Linked DNA regions of Drosophila melanogaster. The protein of the gene in region 1 interacts with the protein of each later gene in a pairwise test. Each region holds a gene or a part of one and is shown on either strand. Other genes may lie near its edges.

Evidence for each region. Proteins that work in one complex are often made in the same cells at the same time.
Region 2: the proteins of CG42495 (region 1) and Syx6 interact in a two-hybrid assay, tested with the Drosophila melanogaster proteins (one large-scale study listed by BioGRID).

What each region holds. Positions count from the first base shown.
Region 1 is NT_037436.4:18,664,044-18,671,133, reverse strand, and holds CG42495 (uncharacterized protein), read right to left. Parts: upstream 3,774-7,090; 5' UTR 3,700-3,773; coding exon 3,555-3,699; intron 3,487-3,554; coding exon 3,341-3,486; intron 3,288-3,340; coding exon 3,150-3,287; 3' UTR 2,999-3,149; downstream 1-2,998. Other genes in the region: Capr (caprin), read left to right, coding at 1-2,100; MYPT-75D (myosin phosphatase targeting subunit 75D), read right to left, coding at 4,880-5,436, 6,314-6,810, 6,874-6,994.
Region 2 is NT_033778.4:11,216,103-11,224,686, forward strand, and holds Syx6 (syntaxin 6), read left to right. Parts: upstream 1-3,831; 5' UTR 3,832-4,221; coding exon of another isoform or gene 4,222-4,256; 5' UTR 4,257-4,278; coding exon 4,279-4,519; intron 4,520-4,825; coding exon 4,826-5,527; intron 5,528-5,681; coding exon 5,682-5,758; 3' UTR 5,759-6,236; downstream 6,237-8,584. Other genes in the region: shn (schnurri), read left to right, coding at 1-112; CG9084 (uncharacterized protein), read right to left, coding at 1,349-1,378, 1,445-1,588, 1,652-2,061, 2,104-2,280, 2,981-3,065; CG7737 (uncharacterized protein), read left to right, coding at 7,497-7,581, 8,468-8,584.

The DNA of each region.
Region 1 (7,090 bases):
GCCACTGCCCAGAAGTCTGCCGAACTCTTTTACTCGACCATCAATGCGCGTCCGAAGTCTTTCGGAGAAGTGTCCTTCGAGAAGTTGCGATCTCTCTTCCAGCAGATCCAGGATAGTGGGTACCTGGACAAGTATTACCTTGTTCCACTGGCCGAGAACGCGGTAGCCAACAGCACGGATAGTGGAACTGGAAGTGGCGATGGAGAAAGCGGTGACTTGTTGAACGATGGCTCGGGGGAACTGGACGCGGAACTGCCATCTGAGCCATCGGCTCGAAACTCTTTGGAGGAGGGACTAGACAAGTTGCATTTGGGCGTGCAAGCAGAACTGGACCAGCATCAATCGTACCAGCAACAGCAGGAGCGTCCGAGCCATCTTCTGGAGCCGCAGCACCAGAGAGCTCCATCCCTGGAACATCAGCAGAACTCGATGGTGCAGCAGGTGTCGACCCAGGTCTACCAGGCAGCTCCTCAGGCCGGAGGAACCACCACGCCAGTGCATGTTCTATACGCTCCAGCGCCACCAGCCCAGCAGCAGCCCCAGCAGCCGCCGCCGCATCCTCACCAGCTGTTAAGCAGCCCCGTGAATCTCCAGGCCTTGCAAACAGGAACAGCTGCTCCACCAGCACAACAGCAGCAACCACACCCAACCCACTTTGCTCCAAATGTGAGGGCCGTGGAGCAAAACTATTTCAAGCAGCCACCGCAGCATCCTCAAGGTCCTGGAATACAGGCACCACAAACGCCCCAGCAGCAGCAGTTTATGCAGCATTCGCGCCCCTTGGCGGAGGTCTTGGGCACAGGACGCTTCCATTTTCTGCAGGACAGTGAACTGGACAATCCTGAGGCTTTAGCACCGCCGCCTCCGACCAATCAGGGATTGGTATTTGAGCAGCAGCCGCAACAGCCCAACCATGTCGAAGAACCAACGCAGGCCATACTGACGCTGACCTTCACCAACCAATCGTTCCCATCGCAGCAGCCCCAGCCCCAGCAACAGGGTCCGCAGCAGCAGCAGCAGCTTTTCTCGCCGGTGCTGATCCACGAGCAACGTCAACAGCCACCACAGCAGCAGCCGCAACCAATGCTGATTATGCCGCGTCTGCCAACCCAACAACCGCAGCAGCCTGCTCCTCAGGGCATTGGCATGCAGGCGGGCGATGTGACCTCAGGGTTCTCATACGAAAATGCTGTTGTTTCCTATGAACAGCAGATCCAGCAGCAGCTGAAACAGCAGCAACAACAACAGCAGCAGCAGCAGCAAAATCTACAGCAGCTGGATGAGCCGTCATCTGTGAACAGCTCCTCGAGTGTCGGTGCTGGTGGAGATGTCGAGAACAATGAATGGCATGCCCGTAATAATGATACAAATGCTGCCGCCACAGCAGCACTGACGAATGTGCTCAAAGGCGAGACCACCCAGGCCACGCCACCGGCACCGCCAACCAAGTGGAGCTCGGAGATGAATGCCATGAGTAGCGCCGCCTCCAATGGCAGCAGCAACACCAGCCACAAGCAGGAGTGGGCCACGCCCAGGGACCACAGCACTGGCGGAGGCAATAGCGGTTATGCCGATAACAACGAGAGTAACAACCATTGGAACAACTCGCAAGGAGACGGACGCCGCAACTCTGGCAATTATCAGCGTCGTGGCGGAGACAGGGATAACCGGGATCGCGATCAGGGAGGGCGAGGTGACGAGCGGCGCAACGGCGGCGACAGGGGCAACTACCGGTCGCGTCAATACGGCAACTCATCTAACACGAACGGACGCAATTCGGGCAATTCGAGCGGTGTGTACTTCCGCAACAATGAGTCGGGCAATGGTGGAGGCAACAACTACTACCAGAACGGAGGAGGTGGCGGTGGCACCTACAACAAGGAGTCGCGCTACGAATCCTCCGGCGGCGGCGGTGGAAGCTATCGAGGCCAGCGCGGTGGCAACCAGCAGCGTAATGTAAATGGCTCGTATGGCGGCGGCAGGCCCATGGGCGATCGTGGTCGTGGCGGAGCGGGCAACCAGGGAGGTGGTGGTGGTGGCTACATAAACCGTCAGAACCAGTCGCAACGCATGCCACTCGGGCTGGAGAACAAAAACTGAGCATACAATACGTATTAACCCCGCAAACAAAACACACATACAATTCATGCAAACCATAAACACAACCTCCATACAGAAAACAAGGAAACCAATCATCAACATGCAAGTAATGGCCACGTAGACGTACAATTATTGTTACGCAAACCACTCTCAACCATAAGAAATGGAAATCTATCAAAAAGAATCCTTTATAACGCAACTAGGGAATCGAAAATGAAGCCGACACACAAATCAATTCGTGCGCATTTTTCAATACGATTTATACCTATTTCCCTTGATTTTGGTTTATTCGATAATGTATTAATAATAAAACAAAATAGTTGTTAGAAACACGAAAGAATTACAACTAAATACAGGAAAGTAAGCGCTCCAAGGGTTTCTAAAACTCCCAGACAGGATAGGACAGGACACAACACTACTTCGTCCAAGGAAAACAAACGACAGATGGGCAAAACTTGTATGTAACTTGGATCTGCCATTTCTTGCTTGATTTTACTTTTTGTCTGTTTGGCTGCGTTGAAGCTGATTGATGATTACAGATGTCGAGAGAAAGAATATAAAAAGTATTTATACGTCTTAGCAATTAAATAACGATTCTGAATTATAAAAATTAATTACTATTACCTATATATATAAACGAAGGGATAAATATATTTATAGTTTGTGCTCTTACTGTCATGCTCTATCCCATTTCAACACCTTTTTTTGTTCTGCCAAACTTTTACACACAAACGATGAAAACAAAAATACAAAACCACGTAAAACATAATAGTTGTAATTATTGCCGCGTGAATGAAGAAGCGTGCACACTAACAGTGCATTATAAATGAAATGAAAACTATGTATTTGCAAAACAGTACATACATTAAACAAAAGTATATAAACCATTCGTTTTTTTGGACTAATTGGGGTTCCCAACATTTTTATATTTTAAAGTTACAAATGGAAAATTAAGTTTCTTTAACTATTTTTATCCCTGCTTCAGAAAGTTATATGGCAAATGAAAAATGTGTATAAAAGAAGCTAATCTTAAGCAAATCCCATTCCTACTATTCCATTTTGTCCTGCTTTTCGGACTCGACTGTTCCTCCGTCGCAAAGAAACCAAAGACCAGCCAGAATGAGAGTTATTCCGATGCCAGATAGTACTGTCAGTGGCTCCCGATAAACAAGCGCACCTAGGACAAACTATATAACGAACAGTAATCATAATTGAACAAATAGATCGGTGGATCACCTACCGATAAGACATAATTCGAAGCGGCAGTTAAAACGACGCACGTTAAAGTTTGTTCAGTCATTTGCAGGGCCTTCAAAAAGAAACGCAAGTTGCAAACGTTGCATGTTACCATTAACACTAGTGGCAGCAGCTGAAGTAATGCTATTTCTAATAAATAAAATAAAATTTTATAAATTTATAAACATTTTGCTTGTTTGAAGAAATCACAATCTTGCCTAAATAAGAAAAGTCTTCATTTATTTGCGAAGTATTCAGTAGTTTTTGGGCGCTCAGGTGGCTGGGAAGTTTTCCGAAAAAGCTTCCTGCAGCTGCGAAGGAGCCAGCCACCAAACTGTATCGATATTTTGCGAGTGATTCCATTAGGTTAGATCTTTAAACTTATAAGTTTAAACCAATAAAAATGTAAACAAAAGTCGAACGAGGCAACAGCTGATGCGCAAAGCTGCCAACTTACTTCCATATGACAAGCTTGCGGTTCATTAAAATCCCGCCAGGTGGAGCACCTTGGCGCGAGATTTAAAAGAGTAGATATTTACTTCAACTTCATTCTTCATAAGAAATATAAGCACAGGAATATAAAAAACTAACTGGCGCAAAATCAAATCAAATTTGTGTGTAATTTTTTCGTATTTCATTTGTTTATTTTACAAAACGTTCAGCTAATGCCTTGACATTCATCGAAAAAGTCTCATTTGCTAATTGCGCGTTGTTTTTGCATCTTTTGGAATTGTGTAGGTTTATATACAAAGACCGCTGCTACATAAATAATACATATATTCTTGTACCTCTCAACAAAACTCAACTTACATAACGCAGAGCAAAGTAGTTGCATTAAAAAATAAATCTCTATGCCGCCTGGCATTATTAACATTCCTTCAATTCAAACATTTAGACACTTATATGTGGAAATTGCTTGAGTGCTATGCATTTCGTCTCATTGCTTTGCTTTACTTTGCTGTCACGGTTTAACTACAATTTTGCTATCGTACTATATATTTAGTTAAATATTTACTTGTTGCATAATACTTCGCCTGTTTCGGTTGTAACACTCACACACGGAAACACAGATATTCCTAATGCACTCCAAGCAAATCTATTAAGTTAGGTTCTTACTTAGCATTGCTATATAAATATTTTTTGATGTTTTTTCATTTTGATTTAGTTAGTTGTTATATATCGCCTAAGGTAAACTGCTCACAATTATTTTATACGTAATTCTTTTAATATTCTTTAAAATGTATACATATGGTTGTATATTTGTATAAATTTGTTTCGTATAATTGGTTGTGTGTGTCTTTAGTGTGTTGTTGTGTCTGCTAGGAAAATGCAACGACTTTCAGCCGTTATCTAGGAGCTCACAGAATCGAACCCCGTTCTCAAAACCAACATGCATTTGTGTAATCAACATTCAACAATTCACTCACTGAATACGGCTAATCTAATAAAAAGACACTTTTTTCTTGCCATTTAACAAATGGCCTATCCCTCTGACAATTCTGGCTGCTCTAATACCCTGTGACTCTAGTAGTTCGCTAAGTTTCTACATCAGGACGCAACACCTGCGACTGGAACTGGTGCTATCGGTGACCACGTCGCCAGTGATGCCGCTGAACTTGTTCAGCGAACTGCCCGCCGGCGAGGAGCCCTCGAAGTCGGATAGCACGCTTCCCGCGCCCATGTGACCCAATGTTGGCTGCGTCGAGATCGGTGCGGATCCGTTGTTGTTGTTGTTGCTGGTGCTCAGGTTGTTGTTGTTGTTGCTGCTGCTGCCGCCGGCTCCTAAAACAGAACCATTAGTTGTTGTGGCATTAGCTGCTGCAATTGGATGGGCATTGCTAGCTGTTTGGGATGACAATTCGAAAGTATTGAGGACATTGGCGGTGCGTGAAAGCGAGCGTTGCTTCTTCAAATTGGCCAATGTGGCGCTGTAGCCATCCAAGGCAACATGCTGCTGCTGCTGCTGCTGTTGCTGTTGCTGCTGATGTTGCTGAAGCTGCTGGTGTTGCTGCAACAGCAGTACGTGTTGCTGGTGGTGGTGTTGCTGCTGCTGCTGCTGCTGCTGTTGATGTTGCTGATGGTGGTGCGTGCTATTGGTGTCTGGATGTTGGAAGTTTTTGGCAAGGCGTTGGGTGTGTTTGGTGTTTAGTGGTGCGGTGGTTGTTGTTTTTATTGTTGATGATGATGCGGGCAGGCAGACGACACAGAACGGGCGAAACGAGGCACAACAACGACAACAAAAAAGAATGAAACGGAAACAAGCAAATGTTATTTTACTTTTCTTCTCTTCTTTTCCCGAGAACTAAGTTAGCAGATACCCATTGACCAATTGGGAGTGATCGGGTAGATGGGATGGAGGTTACATGCGAGTCAAATGCTAATGCTTATTGCAGCCATGCTCCCCTGTTTTCTAAGTACGATTTCTAGTATCAGAAAACCCATTTAGTGTAGTAAGCTATTAAAATGGCAATAATTTACATAAATAGTAATATATGCTTACGCTATTCCACTTTAGGCATTTAAATAAAGAAGTCATTTACAAAGCATATTTACAACATAATGAAATAAAAAGTATCTTACTACAACAATGACTGTCATTTCCATAAAATATATCTCAACTAAGCTATGCATCTCACGAAGCTATCCTATTAAAAATCTCAAACCAAGATATCGATTATCATTTCCTACAGGGCATTCGTCATTCTATAGTCTACTCATGCTGTTAGCTCTGCTTGCTTGTTGGAAGTATTTTCATTTCCATTTTAGTAGAGTCGTTAAATAAACATTAAACATTGACATTGACACGGGGACAGAATGGCGCTTAAGCAGAACTCTTGTGATACGTTGACGCTCCTTGGGAGCCAAACAGGATGGTTGGAGGTGGCGTCTGGATGGGGTGCTTGAGTAAATGGTTGGCTTTGGTTGAAAGGAGAAAGCGGAAGCAAGCCTGACACGTGGCCAAGGGCGCTTGACTCACCCACGAGGACGGTGACCTGGACATTGATCTTGCCGTTGGCAGCCTCCTTCGACGACTGGATTTGAACGGCCTCGGCACTGGCCGCCGTACCCTTCTCGGTGAGAATGACGGCCGCCGCCGAGGTGGCTCGCTGCATCTCTCCCGCAGCACCTGCAGCTTTCAGGCGTAGCAGTTCATCGTTTTCCCGGCCATCCGGTGGACGGCGCGACGGATAGGAATGTGTGGCGTTGGCCGACAAAGCGGCGGTGGCATTATCCAGCGCATCGGCGGACTTGGAGTGCGGCAGTGGTTGGCCATTCGAACTGCCCGTCGAGGGTCGCTTCTCTCCGTTGTTGTTTCCGTAACCATAGCCATTGGTCAGCGGATCCCCTGCCGATGAGGGAGCCTCCGAGTCCGTCGCCTCCTGCGCCTGCAGACGCAGCCGGGTCTCCTCGACGGCATCCTTTTTGGTTGTCAGCGTTTTGTCTCGCAAACTAGTGCGTCGCACTGATTGGGCTCTGTGGAAAGCATAGTTAGTTTTAATGGTTATGTTTAATGGCTCATAAATGTTATGTAAATGCCTTGTGTTGTTGCTCTGTGAGCGTCGAACGCGTCGTCGCTGCGCCTCGGCCAGTCGTTTGCTCTCCTGCTCCGTCTTCAGCTGTTCGATTCGCTCCCTGATTTCGGGATCTTCACAGATGTCTACAAAGGCGGATGGATTGATTTGTTAATATCCAGTTAAAACGTTTAAGTGTATTCTTATGTTTATGGCAACTAACATCTAAATGAACGTATGTA
Region 2 (8,584 bases), on another chromosome or scaffold:
GGAGAGCGATAATCCACCGGAAAGCAGTGGCGAGAAGCGGGCTCGTTCTGGCCAGGAGCTGCCTGTTCCCGTGGCCGTTCCCGTGGCTGCTTCAGCAGCGGCAAGCAACTGACAGTACATGTACATGCTGCAGCCCAGCTGAGGTTATCAGTATCCCGCGGTCTACCACCTGGACAGCAGTCAGTACGGCATCTACAATTCCAGGATCGAGGGCCGCCATGACCAAACCACCTCCAACGAGCGCATATCAAATGTCTAAGCATATCGCATATGGGCACACACACAACTTACTCTAGAGCTAGCCTATAAGACCCACCTCTCTTCGATGATGGGCCCAACTAGTATTGGGCTAATCGCGAGTAGTAATCAAACGATAGGGGAGCCAGATAAGCGAGTCAGCTATTCCAGTGTAAACACTCTAGGCGAATTGCGCTAAAATAATCATATACAAAGCCTTTTACGGTTTTAAAAGGCAGTCACCCCACACAGATCGTTTCGATCTGCCTCTTAAGTATTTAGGTTAAGGAATCGTCATCAGCTAGCCCTAGTTATAAGCCAACCAACGAGCACACTTATAAATCTATCTATATTGTATACACTTAACCATAATTTGTTTTCGAAATGCATAAATGCAAAAACTCCTGAAGTGCTGTGAGTCTATCTACAAATGTAAAGATCCGAGAGCGAGAGAAGTGTGTTATTTTTAAGGCCTAGCCCCGAAAATGAACCTCCAAACCGAACCAGAACACACCCGCACACTAAGTATATTGGTTTTCTATGTCCAAATCCAAGTTTTGCCCTTTGAAAATCACGTAGTTCTTCCTTATTTCAAATTGTTATCACACCAAGTTTTGAAGCGCAACTATTAACGGTGAATGAGAAATGACTTGCGCCCCTAGTTTTGTTTTAATTCTTTAAACAACGAGACCACGAGACTCATTTAATTGTTTCTTTTAATTTTGTATTTGACAGAAGAGAAACGAAATGATGAAAAAAAACGCTAACTGTAAATAATCAATATGTTGTCATATATGCATTAAGCGGTAGGTTAGATAAACAAACTACACAAAGTTGATAGATATAAATGAAATATTGTACAAACTGCTATGGCAAGCGCTGCAGCAAAATCTATATATACACATAGATATATATCTATATATTTGAATGTGTGTATGTGGTTAAACAACAAGAAAATGAAGTGATCTATTACATTATTGTAAAATATATCAAAAAACTGAGAAAAAAAAAAAACAAAACACAAACAAACATAAAATCTTATACAAAAAAATGACAAAAAATAAAGAAATCAATGTGAATATACAATGTTTTTTTTTATTGATTAATCACGTCAAAAGCGGGTTTGGAAGAATAGATATTCCTGAAAAACGAATACAAAACATTATTGTGGCAAATGATATATGTATATAAACTAGGAGCACAGTACCAGTAGAAAGGCTGATCCCAGTATCAAAGCCCGCTCCTTGGCGGTTAGCTTGGCGTCACTAAAGTATATATTTGTGGTGTACTGAGACTTGCTGGCGAGCCATTTGTGGTCTATGGAAGCCCTCATATTGCCTCCCGAATGGATCTGTAAGGGAACAAAAACACTATAATTGAATATTCTGTTCCGAATGTTAAAGCTACTACCAACCTTAAAATAACAATCTTTGGGCAAACTGAAGCAGCAGAATCCTAAACCGACAGGACCCTCTACACAGAATGTTAGTTGTCCTGTGCTTTCGTCTTCGATAAAGAACTCCGGCTGCATGAAGGTGGGCGACTGCACCACTTTACCCAGCAAATTACCAGGTGGTATCCAAATTTCTAGACTTTTTGCCTGGCAGCACATGGATCCCATCGCTAGTTTTTTGCGAAAAACCAGAGCTTCCTGGTGCGTTTTATCCAGCAGGTGCATCTGAAAGGGTCGACCAGCTCCCCAAAGTAGTCGATTTTTTTCTGTGGAACTCTCGTTGGCCGCGAAAATGGCATCACCCAGTGGAGATCGCACCACATATCGATTCTCCGAGGAGACGCCTGTTAGGGCTGCAAAGGGAAGACGAACTATTAGAAGCGATTTTAGCTAATTTTTGGGCTTGTACTTACCATCGTTAAGCTCAAAGGTCTGTTCAATATGTACGGACGGCAGATCTGCTAGGCAATCGTATCCGGAAAGTGGGATAAGCGTCCGGCTTCCCGTAACCGTGGCAATTGGCACTGGCAGCGGGATGCGTGGAGCCTCCGGCCTGGGTTGTGAGGTAATGCTGATATGGGAGTCATAAACTGAAGAAAAACAAACAAATCGTATATAGACCATTTTCCAATACGAGCAGAATCGTAAGGTTGTCCATATTGTTATCTTTGAACTAAGATTTTATAAACCTTTTCCATATCTTTAGGGTATTACAAACTTTTCCATAGATTGAATTTTGAAAGTTTTTAATATTTTAATTAAATTTAAATTTCATTTAAAGTTGTAGTTTTAAGATCATAATTTTACAGTGAATTTGAATTAAATAAAAATGGTTGTTGAACATTCTGCTAATAATAGCTCTGAGTAATAGCAATATTATTGAAAATATTTTGTGGTTATAACAAATCGTTTAGATTAAAACTTTAGTAGTTTTTCGATTTTTTCATAATCTTGTCACATAAATATTTTATTACTTTTCTTGGAATAGGAAAATGTTGGTATAGGATACAGCTAATATCATGGGTACGGTTTTACTATCGGATTGATCGCTGGGTTCGATCGTCCCAAACAAAGGCACTTGAGGAGTCGCAGACCATAACAAAACGCTGGCCGATAAGATATAGCCAACTTGTGGCCGCATTTTTGCGTCGAACTGTGTGACACACTCGCTCGCAACAATAATTAATCCGGTGCACTGCTTATCAGTTGGTAACAATTCGGTTACCCTTTTGCCAGGGTGATTCACTCGCTGTTTTTATTCGTTTTCTAAAGCCATATGCCCTAAATTACCTCTCGGTTCTGAGAGACTTGGCTGCTGGGCCACACGGATCTCACTGTCGTATTGCAAAGTGCGCACCGCGTTGTTTTGCAACATTTCGCCAGCACTTTTCAAACTTATTTGACGGCGGTCTAAATGAAATTGATAACGGTGGTCAGTGGGGCAGTAGCACAACGGAAGTTAAGTGCTTTGTGCCCCTCGCCTGGTCACACTTCCTGACTCAGATGATTTTAATACTCTATTACGAACGTTCTCATGTGAAATAGTAATAATAGCTTATTTATAGTGCTATTTTGTAAACTTTAATTCATGCGAATGTTGCAGGTTTTCAAAATATTCGTTTATGCTGCTCAAGCTGAATGTGGATAAATATATATTCAAATCCAGAGCTGCCACCTGATTCAAACTGTTTAGTAACGTATTTTCTGCACTTGCGATATATACTAAATTATCGCGGGATAAACGTGCTATCGCACTTGGGTCATACTAAGCCTTACGGTTTATTTTGCTAGCAGCAAAACAGAAATAAAACCTTTACTTAAATTTATTTATCAGAATTTGTCTCGTGTGAACTTGAAATTAAAGTCCGTCACCGTGTTCTCGGACCGAAGTTTGCTAAATGACGTGGAGACGAGCAGCAGGTGAGCGAGCGATGAAAATTGCAACAGTGCTGGCCATTTGGCCGACGATTTGTTGTTGTGGAATTTTTTGGCCAAAATTCGGGTTGTTTTCAAATCGGTTAGTCAAGGGGTTGGTAATCAAGGAACCAAAGTGCGCAGCCGCTGGAGCGGGAGCGGCGTAAACAAATGCCAGTGGGGTAGTGGTTCTCGGTGGGGGCTTAATCTCTGGAGCGCAAATAGCGACAGTGTTCTCTGGGCCATCGGTGGAACCAGCTAAGTCGGCGGAATCCACAAGAAATCGAGCGATAAGCGGCGGAGCGGGTCCAAGTGCAATAATCAATAAACGTGCTGTTCAAACATCGCTGCTAGGCGAAAGATAAAACCCAGTCGATTGTGAAATTCCTGCTATATAGAACGGATTGAAAGCAAAAATTTGCTCCCCATTTGCTTGCCTTTTGATGTAACTCCCACGAAGTGCTTTTGCTATTGCCAACTTGCAATTTGCCCCCTTGTACCTTTGGGGGGTGGTTTTCGCCCGGAAAAATCCATGAAAAGAACCGTCAAGTGCGCCACGCTGGTGAAAAACTGCTAGGAGTGTTAGTTTTCGTTTTGTGGCAAGAAGAGAACGCGGCATGTCTCTGGAGGATCCGTTTTTCGTGGTCAAGGAGTAGGTGTCCCCGATTTGGCAGATGGCCACATGCACTGCTGGTGGAAAGTGCTATCTTACTTATATCTCTGTTTTTTCTTTCATTTCCCTCCCCTTCCCCAACAGCGAGGTATTCAAAGCTCTGAACAAAACCCGCGGCCTCTATCTGCGTTGGCGGGAGCTGGGCGAGAACGGCGGAACGGAGGCTGAATGGACCACCACCGAGCTGCGTAACTCGCTACGGAGCATCGAGTGGGATCTCGAGGACCTCGAGGACACTATCAATATCCTTTTGCAAAGACCATTGAAAAATCAATTCGTTACCTGGTACTCATTTATCGAATTGCATTGTCTGTTTTATTTTCGCATAAAGAGGTTGAGATCCCATTTAAAATTGCTGAATATGCAATTTATTCGTGATTTAATTCGCTCGTTTATTAGTATTATACTAATAAACTGTACAGAACTTGTTTTTTTGGCACTATAATTGTAAAAAAAGAGTACTTGGTATCTTAAGGTCGGTAGAACCGACTTTCTAGCTCATCAGTCTCCTCGGTTTTCTCCTTAACCCATACCATTTTGACTCACACGCATCGTTGAGAAGAATCCAAGCAAGTTTCGGATCGACAACCGCGAACTCTCCAGCCGGCGCCACTTCATCGACAACACTCGCGATGAGGTCAAGCAGATGAAGGATAAGATGAGCCTGAACCGGAGCCGGGACAGAGACATCACCGCACACCAGCCGCTGCTCGACAACGATCGCCACAGCCCCAATCACAATCATTCCATTGCCATACCCAATTCGAATTCCAACTCCAACGAGTACCATCAGCATCCACACAACGATCGCACGTACCTCGTGGAGTGTCCCAACGGCAACTCGCTGATCAATAGCGGCAGTCAGGTGGCCAATACCATAGCTGGGACCATGTCGGCGGCAGCGGCAGCAGCATCCCGCCACAGCGGCACCAAGTACTCCAAGCTGGAGAACGCCCTGGACAGTCCCAGTCACTATGGGCAGACGCATCACGGCGGCATGGACAGTCCGAGTCATAGGTACGTGGGCGAAACAGTGTCCATACAGCAGCGTATGATCCAGGGACAGGATGAGCAGCTAGACATGATCAGCGATTCGATTGGTACCCTCAAGACGGTCTCGCGGCAAATTGGCGTTGAGCTCGATGAGCAGGCCGTCATGCTAGACGACTTTGGGAACGAGTTCGATACCACGGAGTCCAAGTTGGATACGACCATGAAGAAAGTTGCCAAAGTCTTGCACATGAATAATGGTGAGTGGTGCGGCACTTGTGGTATTCAAGGACTATTTTGATTGAAATATTAATGAAGAGTAAATGCTTCAGTGAACCACAATCAAAATTACCCATTGAATACTTTTGTGACTTCTGATTCCTAATTCTTAACTGTATCCATCTTCTTTCACAGATAAACGACAGTGGGCCGCCATTCTCATCCTATCCGGACTGTTATTGTTTGTGATAATTTTGTTTATTATTTTGTAATTGCTTTCGTTGTTCCCAAATCGTTTATATTTAGTGTAAATTAGATTTATTTATGACTTAGCTTGCTTTTGAATTCGGGCTCTTAATTACAATTCCATGTAAACTCCCTTGCTGTATATACACGGAAACATTTTAACCTGATTTATTACCAGCCGCCTCTCTCTATATATATATAATGTAATTCCAAAGCTACGGACAAATGATCATGTAAAGTCAATGTAGGCGGGTAATAAAAGATAACTAACTACTTACATATAAACCAAGTGCTCCAGAGTTCTGTCATTCCCAATTTGGCCAAAGGATACTGCAACTGTAAGCTGTATATACATCGAAGGATATATCTGCATATATATACATACAAACAAAATGGACCTACCAATATCAAACGAGTTATTTAACGAAGAGTCTTAGGAAATTTCACTAACCAAATCTAGCAAAAACTTGTATGCAATTGAGTAAATATATATACTTATAAATTAAATTCCTAATTTAAAGCCAAATGAGGTACTTCTTACGGGTCACCTAGAAATACTGTATGAGTGCACAGAGAGAAATTGTATACATATACAAAAATTTGTTCGCTATTTTGAAAGCCTAAATTAAACAAAAATTGGAAATACAAGCTTTCAAATTTTTTAATGTTTTTAAGGATAGTAGGATTAGTCAAGATGTTATCTTCTGATAGATCAATGATTTGGAAAATGGTATTTAATACCAAATTTTTCTCTGTGCACAAGGAGAGGGTATCAGGCCCCTTCTCATGTTCTCTCTGCGCCCCAAAACCACTCGACAGCCCACTCGATTTGCCCACTCACTCAGCTGTGTTGCATGCTTTTGCCCGGAGCTTTTTGGCGAGCTTACAGTCTGCGCACAGTGGCGCAACCAAAGGGGTATCTTCGAAAGGCTTGAAACATAACCCCTACGGGGAATCCGGACTACGCCACTGGGTCACAGCATAAGCACACGGGCAGAGCGGCACGTTTCCATGTGATGTTTTTCGGGTTTCGGCATTCAGTGTTGTTTGCCTTTTCCGCGGAGCTGGAGTTTTCCCAGCAGTTGGCATATAGTATATATATATATCTCCTGATATTCCGGTAGAAATGTTCAATTGTTGAATTACTTCGGCTAAGCGGCATTCAAAGTTATTTTGGTGAGTGACAGTGCGCAGTGAAGTGAACATACCCACCCATTATCACCCCCAAATATGCAGTAACCCAAAATTCGACTTCCTCTCGGATGTTTGTGGTTGGTTTTCCTATTGTGTGCAGTTTTTGTTGCCGCTGAAAACCTTGAGCATTTTGTTGGCCAAAAATATATAAAATCAATGTCAAACGGCGGAAGATGGGATACCGCTTCCATTTCTTTCCCCCCCCCCCCCCACTTACTGCTCTTCGTGGAAACACTCAGATTTCAGTTGACCGCCAGGTAAAACCAGCTGGTCCGGTTGGCTAGATACTCCTTCTGGGATTTTTCCTCCGCTTTCCCTTTGCTGCCGTGGCTATTAATAAATGCATGTGGCCAGAAGAAGCGAGTGAACATATTTCAGACTACATGTGTTCTTGGTGGCCGTGTGTTTTCCTTTGGACGCCAGTGTGTTGCTCGTGGTTTTCATTGCTGGGTGGGGGGAGCTTTTTCGAAACTCTTATCAAAAGTCGGATTCGCGGGCAGGGATTCGTTCGTTATCGAAACAGATGAGCGAACATGCCGTTACTTTTTAATCAAAAGACGTGTGTAGTTTATGTTGTACGGAAAGTGGACGGTAATAAAACTCAAGTGTCTGGAATTGCAATGCACCATTGCCATAAGCAAATTTCCAATGCACAGTAAGCAAAAATGGCAAAAAAAAACACAAAATTAATTCTGTTGGTGAAAATATCATGTTATATATCAGCAAATTACCCGCACAGACTGTTGTTTATGTATATTATACGATAAGTTTATTGCGAAATCAATTTACAATGCTATTTTTGAAAGTGAAAGGGAAATTGAAAAGCCATATCTGTGAAAGCAAAATGGGAATTTTGAAAAGCAAATTTCCTACAACCATAAGAATTTTTAAAAGGGCTTGTTTTATTCACTTTAACATTTGCAATGGATAGTAAAGCTAACGTATTCACGTTCTGAGATTTTAGGCATGACTGCGAATAAGTGATATTGTATTACAATTTACACAGTTTTAACGCCAAGCATTTGTAAGCTTACTGTTGCATAAAATTGAAAAAAAAATTTACAAATTTTTGAATAGCTTGCAATTTTGAAAAATGCATCCAAATATAATTTTCTAAATATTGTGTGATTAAAGGAAACCATAATGCTTACTGTTGCGTAAAATTAAAAACCAATTTTACAAATTTCTGAATAGATTGCTATTTCGAAAAATTCATCCAAATATAATTTTCTAAATATTGTGTGTTTAAAGGAAACCATAATTAAATAATGCTTACTGTTGCATAAAATTGAAAAACAATTTTACAAATTTTTAAATAGTTTGCAAGTTTGAAAAAATCATCCAAATATAATTTTCTAAATATTGTGGGTTGAAAAGGGAACCATACTTAATGTGCTTTTAAGTATACCAGATTTTTTTCAAGTGTACGCACAATTGCCCACAACCCACTTACTCACACTCTAGCACATTCGAACTTATGGTGTTTATTATTTAATTTGCTTTTCTCCTGTTGCTCTGCTACCCCTTTATTTCCAAACCAGATATTCAGTTACCCGGAATGAGTGGCGCACAGCGGAATCAGGATCGCAAGATCGTTGTCATCGGAGCAGGAGCCTCGGGTGTGGCCTGTGCCACCAAACTGCTGGAATTGGGCTTTC